3 linked regions of the Oryctolagus cuniculus genome follow. The protein of the gene in region 3 interacts with the protein of the main gene of each other region in a biochemical or structural test. Links are inferred from orthologs where the notes say so. Each region holds a gene or a part of one and is shown on either strand. Other genes may lie near its edges. The genes, in order: DNM2, DNM1 and ITSN1.

Region 1 (3,644 bases), on a different chromosome or scaffold from region 3:
CAGCCGCCGGGCCGCACCTGTGACTGCTGGCAGTCTGCAGCCAGGTGTCGTCGACGGGCGGGGGCACGGGCGTGGACACGGTGCTGGTGCTGATGTCCCCGATGATGTTGAGGGCCTCCTTCAGCGCGTGGTACATGCGCAGCATGTCGTCGCGCCGCTGCGCCTGGTCGGCCGACTCCTCCATCAGGCTGCCCTGGTCGGCCGCCGAGTACAGGTAGGCCAGCAGCTCGTGGTGGATGAAGGCCTTGGTCTGCGGGGCGGGGGCGGGGTCAGGCCGCGGGGGCAGGGCCAGGCCGCTGGAGGGGCGGGGCCAGGCTGCTGGAGGTGGGCCGGGCCAGGGTGTAGGGGCGGGGCCAGGCCGCGGGGCGGGGCCAGGCGAGCCCCTCTGTCTTACAGTGTGTCCTAGGGGCACCAAGTTTCAAGTTTCCGGACTATGGAATGAAAGGCATGAGTTTATTTTGGCAAAAAGCCTTTTGAAATCCCCACCGTTTTCCTGTTCCAAAATGAACTCAGACCTTTAATTCGGTCTTTCCGTGCACTTTTTGGTGCGTATTTTATTTTCATCTTCGTGACAGGCAGAGTGACAGAGACAGAAGAGAGAGGTCTTCCATCCCCGCCTCTCTCCCCAAATAGAGGGCCAGGCCAGGCCAGGCCAGGCCAGAGCCAGGACCAGGAGCCGGGTCAGAAGTGGGGCGGCCGGGGCTCGAACCGATCCCGTGGGGGATGCAGGTGGCACAGGCAGAGGCTTCGCCCGCTCCGCGGCCGCCTTACACATGTGCACAGCCCCTTTCTTACACTGATGGTGTCCCTGTGAATCCCTGCCTCGGGTGAACACATCTTCTCAAACAATGCACTGGCAGGTGGGGACTGCCTGCAGGACGCCCGTGTGTAAGCACGCGCCTCCCTCTGCAGGGCCCGCGTGCGTGCGTGCGTGCGTGCGTGTGTGGGTGAGAAGCGCTGGGGAGAACGAGGCGAGGCCCCTGTGTGCACTGCCGCTGCACAGTCGCAGAGGGGCCTCAGGGTGCCGTGGATAAACGTGGCTTATTTGGGTGCCAAAATAAATAACTCTTTCCAAACAGGGTCTTCAAAAGGCTCGAGGGGCATGCGCGTTAAGGGAGCGGTGCGCCTGCTCAGCCCTCACCAGGAGCAGCCCCGGTGCTCGGGGTCCCTGGGGACAGCCGGGAAGGGGGGGCTTCAGCTGCCCAACCTAAGGGCAGGGGCGGACACGGGCTCAGCCTGGGTGGAAAACCCCACTTCTAGGTATAGCTGCCACCTGCAGTGCCAGCATCCCATATGGGCGCCGGTTCGAGTCCCGGCTGCTCCACTTCCCATCGAGCTCTCTGCTGTGGCCTGAGATAGCATTGGAGGATGGCCCAGGTCCTTGGGCCCCTGCATCCTCGTGGGAGACCCGGAGGAAGCTCCTGGCTTTGGGTTGGCCTAGCTCCAGCCATTGCAGCCATCTGGGGCATGAACCAGCGGATGGAGGGTCTCTCTCTCTCTCTCTCTCTTTCTTTCTTTCTCTCTCTCTCTGCCTCTCAGTAACTCTGCCTTTCAAATCAATCAGTCAGTCTCGGGGGAGGTTCCTTGACCTGTCTGGGCTCGACTTTCTGGCTGTGGCCTGGGCCGCTCTTCTCTCTCTCTTTGGCTCTCTGTCTCTCTGATTGATTTATTTGAAAGGCAGAGTTACAATCTCGGGGAGGTTCCTTGACCTGTCCGGGCTCGACTTCCTGGCTGGCCTGGCCGCTGAGGCCGCTGGCCGGGGCACTCACGCTGTTGATCATGAGGTGCATGATGGTCTTTGGCATGAGGTCGCGGATGGACTTGTTGATGATGGCCACGTACGAGTCCACCAGGTTGCGGATGGTCTCCACCTGCCGCTCCAGCTGCGGGTCCATGGAGAAGGTGTTCTCCTGGGCCCCGTCCTCGTTCTCCGCCTGCAGGTGGGGGAGCGGCAGTGAGGGCCGAGCGCCCCGGGCCAGACCCTCCCGGCTCCTGGGAACGCCAACAGGTTCATTTGGGGACGTGGCCTCAAGGACAGGGAGACAGCATCCCCTTCTGTGTGCATCCCGGGCTTGCCTTCAGTTCTAGAACGTTCTGCGCCGCCGCCCCTGAGCGGGCCCCGTACCTGGTCCTTCTCGGGGTAGACGCCGGCGCGCAGGAACGAGGCCTTCCAGCTGTCCACGTCCTCCTGGGAGTCACAGGCCAGCTCGATCTGCCGCAGGTCCTTGTAGACGTTCCTGGGGCGGCAAGGAGGCGCGTGACCGCGAGGGCTGGGCTCTGGGCTCTGCTGGTCTGGGCTCACATCCAAGCTGGGGCCGGCGCTGGCGCACGGCTGGTTAAGCCGCTGCCTGCCATGCCAGCATCTCACATGGGCGCAGGCTCAAGAAGTGGCTGCTCGACTTCCGATCCAGCGCCCTGCTAGTGCACTTGGGAAGGCAGTAGAAGATGGCCCGAGTGCTTGGCCCTGCACCCCCGTGGGAGACCCGGATGGAGCTCCTGGCCATTGTGGCCATGGCGGAGTAAACCAGCGGCTGGGAGCTCTCTCCCCTTGCCCCGTCACTCTGCCTTTCAAATAAATCCATCACTCTCAAAAACAAAACAGCTGGGTCCTGTGAATGGGCCTGCACCTGCTCCTGTTCCTGCTACGCTGTCAAGGGCCAGGCCCAAGTTCAAGAGTCGAATTTGTGGCTTTCCGCTCATGCTGGCCCAGCCGACGCCTCTCCTTCCCTGGGATCCACCTGCCCCCCCGCCCGTGTGCCTCGGTGGGGGCCAAGGTCATTGCCAAGCCTCCCGAGGTGGGCACATGCCCCACAACACCCTGGCCCAGCGGGGAGCTGCCACTGAGGTGTTTTTCAGGAAGCCCAGAGCAGCGCTGTCCACCCGAACTTATGATGGAGGGAGTGAGCTTTTTGTCTCACTTCAGTGGCACGGCCCACGGGGGCGAGGGATGGGCCCGGCCTCTGGACAGGTTTTGCACAGCTGTGGGTTGGTGACAGGGGGAAAGGGAAGAAAATTAACAAGTACAGAGAAAGAGGAAGGCAACTTTGTAACTGAAGCTGTGTCCTGGAAGACTGTGCACCCCCCAGTACTCAGCCAATGGGGACCTGGGGGGGGGGCTGCGTGCCTGCTCATCAGTACTCAGCCAATGGGGACCTAGGGGCGGGGCCTTCGTGCCTGCTCTCATCAGTACTCAGCCAGTGGGGACCAGGGGCGGGGCCTGCGTGCCTGCTCATCAGACACCTGATCTCCCGGCTCGGGCACTGCCCAGAGCAGACAGGTGGGGGCATTCCCGCACACAAGCAGATGGCTACTTTGTTTCTGGGTTTCCTGAACTCCTGAATGACACATCAGGTCATGGCCTGTCCTGCTGAGGGGGGCACCGGGCTCAGGGCGGAGGGGTCAGCTGTCGGGAATGCTGGGACCAGCCGTGCACTGTGGCCACTCACACGGACCCAGCGGCCTCTGCTGACCGCTGAGCTCTGTGGCCCGTAGGCCTTGGTTCCTGATGAGGGCCCCGCCCGCTCGCCTGACCTCCAGACTGAATGCTGTGGAGGCAGTGACTCCTCCCGGGCCCCACCCCTGCCCAGATGCCCACAGCCTCCTCCCCCCAACCCCTGTGACCTCTCCCCCACGCATGGCCCCAA
Region 2 (3,644 bases), on a different chromosome or scaffold from region 3:
CCCGGACCCGAGGAGAGGCCAGCGTTGGGGTAATGAGGTCCAGATGGCTTGGCGCCCCCACCAGTGACGACAGAGGGGCCCGCCCAGGGTGGGGAGGTGGGGCCCCTTCCCGGGGGCAGACACGGAGCAGACAGGGACCAGGGAGGGGGCACGGGGACCAAAATCACAGCCCCCCCGCCCCCGGTCTCACTCCCCTATGGAGAATGCCTCCACTAGTCCCCTCCCCCACTCCCTGGCCAGCTGGAGTTCATTACCACGAGCCCCCCGCCCCCCCTCTCTGGTCACCTCTGGAATCCAGATGTGGAAGCCAAATAGACTCATTCTTAAAGGAGACCAGCAGTGGGGGAGGGCAGTGCGGGGGCTTCTGTGTGCCGCAGTGGGCGAAGGGGGTCTCGTGTGGCAGCCCCAGGAGCACCAGCACTCGGGGCCCTCGGCTTGGAGACACCCAGGGCACTTCCTGGGACTGTGGGGGGTCCAGGGGCCTGGGGTGCAGGGGTTAACTGGGTGTCTGGCAACTGGACTCTTGTGTGTCATGAGCCTGTGGGGGCCACGGAGGAGGCGGCACGCCCTGAATGGGGAAAACAGGAAGGCCGCCGGGCTGGCGGCCTCGGGGAGGGGGGCCCAGCGCCCCTGCCCACCCTCCCCATGGCACTCAGCCCCCAGCCCCTGGACTCGCCTGCTCCCGATCCCGGCTTCTCACTTCCGCTCATGGGTCCCTGCTGGGACTTTTTTTTAAAGCCTTGTCCAGTTCACTCCAAGGCCACGGCAGAGTCTGAGCCTGACACTGCCCCTGGCCAGCCCCCTGCCGGCCAGCGGCTCGGTGCTCACCTCGTCATCCTTGTACCAGGACAGATTCTCGGCGGTCAGCACAAACCAGTACTCCTTGGAGCCTCCCTTCATGATGCCGATATTGTTGATGGTCAGCCAACCCTTGCGGATGACCTGTAGGGTGAGGGGGTGCGAGGTCAGCAGGTGACGGGCAGGCTTCCCCACGGAGGAGGGGGTGGGCCAAGAGAGGCATGCACCAGCCCACCCCTCCCCCAACTCTCAGAGGGAGGGCGGGGGCCAGACCTGCCCTGGTCTGAATCACAAGTGAACAGGGTGGAAGACAGAGGAAGACGCAGCCACAGCTGTCTGAGTGAGGGATGAGCTCCCCGTGGCTGAAAGCGTGCAAGCAGAGTTCGCGTGGCTGACCCGGCAAGCCAACTCCAAGGGGCTTTTTAAGGTCAACGCCCGATCTGTTCTGAGACTTGCTTCTGACCTCAGGGACTTCGCACGGGCTCTGTTGTCTCTGCCTAGAAAGCGCTTCTCGTCCCTTCTTGCCTGGCAAACGCCTACTCGCCCTTCAAGGGTCGGCTCTGATTCGCATTCCCATGCAGCCCTGCCGGGCCCCCGCGAGACATGAATCAGGATGCCCGAAATCGTCTTTGATCGCCCCCTGAAGTCTTGGCCAGCCATGTCTATGCTTCTGGTTGCCTTCTTGCTGCAGCTCCTCTGCTGAACTTGAACTCTCCCGCCCGCCGGTGCAGCCCAGCACCTCGCACAGGGCCCGGCAGGCACCGAGGGATCACTACCTCTTTGTGGCATGAATAAACGAATGTTATGCTAGCACGGATCTGAGAACGTCTGGCCTCAGACCCCCAGAGGCCGGGAGAAGCAGCTGAAGCAGGAACACTCCAGGCCCCTTCTTCCCAGGAAAGCTCAGAGTGACAGCAGAAACAGCAGCGCCCAGGGGGGTCCTGAGCCATCACTGACCAGGGCCTGGGGCTTCTACTCCAGGGCAGGTGCTAGCCCAGGCCGTGGCCGCGGATTGCATGGAGACGCAGCTGTCTCCGCTCTTCCTAGCACTGACTGTGGCTTCTCTCTGAGCAAAGGCCAGGGTGCTGTGGGGCTAGGCTTGCTTGGGGGGGGGGGCTTTGGAGCCACCCTGGAGTTCTCCTTACCCTCCTCAGGGCTCCCTGACAGCCTCACAGAGAACCCACGCCACACAGCCCATCAGCCGCTGAGTCGCGCACAGACCACAGCTGCCTGTGCCGGTGACCAGAGACACAGAGCCTGGTCCCACATGTCTCCCCTAACCTGTCCTGGGCAGGCCAAGGTCCCCTGGCTGTCTTTGCAGTTGACAAATCTCACCACCCTGCTCCGTGCCCTGACTTACAGCTGTTCCCAGCCCCCACCTTGTCTGGGGCTCCCAGGGGTCTTAGCTGTGCTCTGCCTACAAACACAGGACCCCATGGGGCAGGGTCTGCCCTCTGCCTGGGGGCACAGTGTAGGCACCAGGGACTTTGGCCCAACTGACACACAACACCTATTCAACCTGTCACTCTCTTGAGCCCGACTGTGTGTGCCAGGCACTGGGCTTGGGGCTGATAGACTCAGCTCTCCCCTGTGGGGTCTGAGAGGGAAACAGACATTAAGCCAATGATCCCACAAACACCTAGGTTCTTACAAAGCCGCTAGGGCCTCTGGAACCTAAGGAGAGAAGAGCTGAGGCCCTAAGGGTCAAGTGTACAACAGGGGCGGAGCAGGGCTCGCGACGACCAGCGGCACTGCAGACAACTGGAGGAGAGCAGCAGGCCAGGTGAGGAGGGTGTTTCTCTCCACTCATCTCCTCACACACCTGGAGGTGCAGCAGGCTGTCCGCTCCCTAAAAACATGTCTCTCTCATGCCTACCCATCTATCCACCCATCCATCCATCCATCCACCCATCCACCCATCCACCCATCCATCCATCCACCCATCCATCCACCCATCCACTCATCCACTCATCCATCCATCCACCCACCCATCCATCCACCCATCCATCCACCCATCCATCCATCCACCCATCCACCCATCCACTCATCCACTCATCCATCCACCCACCCATCCATCCACCCATCCACTCATCCATCCATCCATCCACCCATCCACCCATCCACTCATCCATCCACCCACCCATCCATCCATCTACCCATCCATCCATCTACCCATCCATCCATCCACCCACCCATCCATCCATCCACCCATCCATCCATCCACCCATCCATCCATCCACCCATCCACCCACCCACCCATCCACCCACCCATCCATCCACCCATCCATCCATCCATCCACCCATCCATCCATCCACCCATCCATCCATCCACCCACCCATCCATCCATCCACCCATCCATCCACCCACCCATCCATCCATCCACTCATCTACCCATCCACCCATCCATCTATCCACCCATCCACTCATCCATCCACCCATCCATCCACCCATCCACTCATCCATCCACCCATCCATCCATCCACCCATCCACCCATCCATCCATCCACCCATCCATCCACCCACCCATCCATCCATCCATCCATCTATCCATCCATCCACCCATCCATCCATCCACTCATCCACCCATCCACCCACCCATCCATCCACGCATCCACCCATCCATCCATCCACCCATCCACCCATCCACTCATCCACCCACCCACCCATCCACTCATCCATCCACCCACCCATCCATCCATCCACCCATCCACCCACCCATCCATCCACCCATCCATCCACCCACCCATCCATCCACCCATCCATCCACCCATCCACCCATCCATCCATCCACCCATCCACTCATCCATCCATCCACCCATCCATCCATCCACTCATCCATCCATCC
Region 3 (3,644 bases):
GACAGGACCATCACGATTGTTTCTAAACATCCGGGGACTGGGCATTGCAGGCCAAGGAGTCTACTGGGGGCAGCAGGAAGGTAAGAAATAAGAGGATTACATGAGTTCTCAAAAAAAAAAAAAAAAAATACAGACACCGCATGTAGAAATCTGATTTCTAATCATCAGACCCGGGCCCAGAGCCTGGGCGGAGCCAGACTCCCAGCTGAGGTTAGCTGGGGGCTCTGGGAGTTCAGAGACCCTAGAAACCATGATGACACCTGCGGTGAGGGGCAAGGAAGACACAGTCTCGTTTCATAACAGGAGAGGTTGTTTGGGGTGGGGGCAGGATTGTCAAGGATTCCTAGACGCTCTGGGGGCCTGTCTTTGCTGTCCCATTGCCCTGTGGCTGAACGCCAGGGATGCCGAGCGAAGGAACACAAATGCCAGACAGCACCTGCTGCCTCAGGTGGGAGCTCCTCCGAGCACGTGCTGAGCCGCTCCCTACGGCTCATCAAACAACTGTAAGTCCAAGCGGACCACAATCTCTCCTGTGGGGACTTCGTGCAGCAGGAGACACTTTGTAACTGGCCCCTTGGAGCCCTGGTCTTTCTTGATGTCAGCCACACGGATCTCTGTTCGACCCAAGAAATCTGAAAGGAGACAAACACACCGTGCTCACAAGAATCCCTTCTCCTCCAGGCGCGCACCCGCCATCGCAGTCTCCTCGAGAGAAGCTATGCCTTCCTTCCGCTCTGAGCGCTAGGTAGGCCCAACACTGGGGTCTCCACCTTATTCCCTGCGATGTGTCATTATTTTTAATATAACAGCAGCAAACAAAAAGCTTCCACTTAACAGAATAAAGAGCCCTGGGGCCAGCGCTGTGGCAAAGCAGGTAAAGCCACCGCCTGCAGTGCCGGCATCCCAAATGGGCACAAGTTCAAGTCCTGGCTGCTCCTCTTCTGATCTCTGCTATGGCCTGGGAAAGCAGTAGAAGATGGGCCAAGTCCTTGGGCCCCTGCCCCTGTGTGCGAGACCCAGAGAAGCTCCTGGTTCCTGGTTTCAGATCGGTGCAGCTCCGGCTGTTGCAGCCAATTGGGGAGTGAACCAGCGGATGGAAGACCTCTCTCTCTCTCTGCCTCTCCTTCTCTCTGTGTGTAACTCTGACTTTCAAATAAATAAATAAATCTTAAAAAAAAAAAAAAGTTAAGAGCCTTGACTTGGGAGGCAGAGAGTTCTGGCCACATGATTAATATTTAACCAGCTCTGTGACTATCTTTAGGCCAAAACCAACAGCACCTAACTCACAATGAGCTAATTCACACAAGGTAGTAGGAGAGGAAGGCTGCATGGAGCCCTTTAAATCTTGAGGGGGTAACACTGCCCTAAAGCCCTCACTCTTTTTTTTTTTTTTTTTTTTTTTTTTGACAGGCAGAGTTAGACAGTGAGAGAAACACAGAGAGACAGAGAGAAAGGTCTTACTCCGTTGGTTCACCCACCAAGTGGCCAGCGCACTGCACCCATCTGAAGCCAGGAGCCAGGTGCTTCTCCTGGTCTCCCATGCGGGTGCAGGGCCCAAGGACTTGGGCCATCCTCCACTGCCCTCCCGGGCCACAGCAGAGAGCTGGACAGGAAGAGGGGCAACCGGGACAGAACCTGACGCCCCAACCAGGACTAGAACCCGGTGTGCCGGCGCCGCAGGCAGAGGATTAGCCTAGTGAGCCGCGGCGCCAGCCAAGCCCTCACTCTCGTTACTTGTATTTCTTCACAGTCAAGTTGAGGCCATAATCTTTAAGCTTAATCTCTAATTTCTATGGGGTTGAGGCAGAGAGCGACAGTTTCTTAGAATCTCTGGTCAGAGACCATTGTAAAGCAGGCACAGACGCTGGCTAAAAGAATGATGCAACCAACACAATTTTGCTCAAGCAACCCCTTGCCCAAGCAGCCGTGCCTTCCAAAAGGGCACAGATTGCTTCTACTGCCATGGTCATGGGCTCTTCTGCTCCATTAGCATTGGCCAGTTTTAAAATAATAAAAATTAAATATTCTTATTTTATTTGAAATGCATGGAGACACAGAGAGTCAGCCAGAAAGAGAGACAGAGAGAGAGAGCGAGCTTCCACCCACTAGTTCACTCCCCAAATGCCTGCAGCAGCCAGGGCTAAGCCAGCAGCTCCATCTGGGTCTCTCACATGGGTGGCAGGGACCCAAGTCCTTGAGCCACCCTCTGCCGCCTCTCAGGTTGCATAGTGGCAAGAAGACGGATCAGAAGTAGAGGAGCTGGGCCTTGAACCAGGCACTCCAGTATGGGACGTGGGTGTCCCAAGTGACATCACCACCACAGCGCCAAGTGCCAGCCGCTCCGTATCAGCGTGGCTTTGTGCCAGGGATGACAGAACTACACTGAAACTCCTAGGTACACCCCTGTTGGCAGCTACCTGCTCTGGACAGCCCAAGACTGTGACGCAAATCCAAGACAAGGACACTGTGTCTGTGCACCGGGCTGCACCTGCTGTGCATGAAAGCCTTATCTTGGGCCAGCCTCATCATTTGAGAGAGAAATCCAAGCCACTCTGGGCATCGCATCCCCAGGAGAGGAGGCGTCCGCCCGCACAGGCTGAGTGATGGGGAAGGAGCAGCGAGCTATGAGGCACGCCCGCGACTCACCATCGGGTGAGAACTGGTCCCTCTCGAACACGGTGATGCACAGGACTTCCTGCTCCAGGTCTCTGATGAAGAACTGGCAGTTGGAATTCCACTTGGGGTTCAGGGTGTCCTGGATCGTCTTGGTGATGTGGCACTGGGAGCCCATGGTCACCTCGCAGTAGGGGTTGCTCTTTCCTGGAAGGCACAAAACCCTTCACCAGGGCGGGAGCCACAACTCATCCCGCTCCATCACCACGCGGCCTACGTGGCCTCACATGGAGAAGCTGGGCGAAAACACACAATTCAGCACCACGCTTCAGACAGGGAACCGACCAGGGCATCCATGGGCTTACGAACCAGAGCCCTCCCAGGCAGGCTCCGAGTGTGCCACAGCCACTGGGTGTGAATGCAGCCACGCGGACCTTCCCGGACAGCAGAGCGAACAGCTCCAGGGAAGACTGCAACAGCCGCATGGGCCACCGGGGCCGCGCAGGTCCTCACCGTGTGACCGGCAGGGCTTCAGCTCAATGCCCTCTACCACGTTCACCATCAGCCTTCCAATGCCCGTTGCCCTCTGGGACCGCACTGGAACAGCAGAGGGAAAAACATAGCACAGATGCACAGATGCTTCACCCTTAGCCTGGACACCTGCCCCGCCCTCCACCCGTGCTCCAGCATCCCAGCCTGCACCCTGTGCCCAGCCATCTCACGACCTCCCCGCTGCCCCCAGGAGCCTGTCCCAGCTCTAAGGGATCTGAGCCTGGCCAAACGGCTGCCCCACGGCAGCGTGGCCAGAGCCCGGCCCGCGGGAGTTACCCAGGTAAGCCTTCTCCCGCTTCTTCTTCTCCGTCTCTATGTAGAGTTCAGAGGCAGCTTTGATCTTCTGCACCCAGGCGGTCCTTGAGCGGGAAAAGACACAAAGTTGCCAAACAACACAGGAAGGAGGCTTGGCTCTGTGCAAATTCCGCTCCCAGGACTCCGCTGTCTTTGTTTGATTTTTAACAAAGGCCCAGGAACGA

What was found.
Region 1: the proteins of ITSN1 (region 3) and DNM2 form a complex in vitro, tested with the Homo sapiens proteins (2 studies listed by BioGRID and IntAct, with this or other methods). The link is inferred for Oryctolagus cuniculus from reciprocal best matches to the Homo sapiens genes ITSN1 and DNM2.
Region 2: the proteins of ITSN1 (region 3) and DNM1 form a complex in vitro, tested with the Homo sapiens proteins (2 studies listed by BioGRID and IntAct, with this or other methods). The link is inferred for Oryctolagus cuniculus from reciprocal best matches to the Homo sapiens genes ITSN1 and DNM1.

The regions. Positions count from the first base shown.
Region 1 is NC_091447.1:66,757,200-66,760,843, forward strand, and holds part of DNM2 (dynamin-2), read right to left. Parts: intron 2,238-3,644; coding exon 2,126-2,237; intron 1,935-2,125; coding exon 1,770-1,934; intron 251-1,769; coding exon 18-250; intron 1-17. UniProt on the Homo sapiens protein: Catalyzes the hydrolysis of GTP and utilizes this energy to mediate vesicle scission at plasma membrane during endocytosis and filament remodeling at many actin structures during organization of the actin cytoskeleton.
Region 2 is NC_091432.1:231,543,515-231,547,158, reverse strand, and holds part of DNM1 (dynamin-1), read right to left. Parts: intron 943-3,644; coding exon 829-942; intron 1-828. UniProt on the Homo sapiens protein: Catalyzes the hydrolysis of GTP and utilizes this energy to mediate vesicle scission and participates in many forms of endocytosis, such as clathrin-mediated endocytosis or synaptic vesicle endocytosis as well as rapid endocytosis (RE).
Region 3 is NC_091435.1:11,143,114-11,146,757, forward strand, and holds part of ITSN1 (intersectin-1), read right to left. Parts: intron 3,525-3,644; coding exon 3,442-3,524; intron 3,211-3,441; coding exon 3,127-3,210; intron 2,821-3,126; coding exon 2,647-2,820; intron 633-2,646; coding exon 484-632; 3' UTR 1-483. UniProt on the Homo sapiens protein: Adapter protein that provides a link between the endocytic membrane traffic and the actin assembly machinery. Acts as a guanine nucleotide exchange factor (GEF) for CDC42, and thereby stimulates actin nucleation mediated by WASL and the ARP2/3 complex.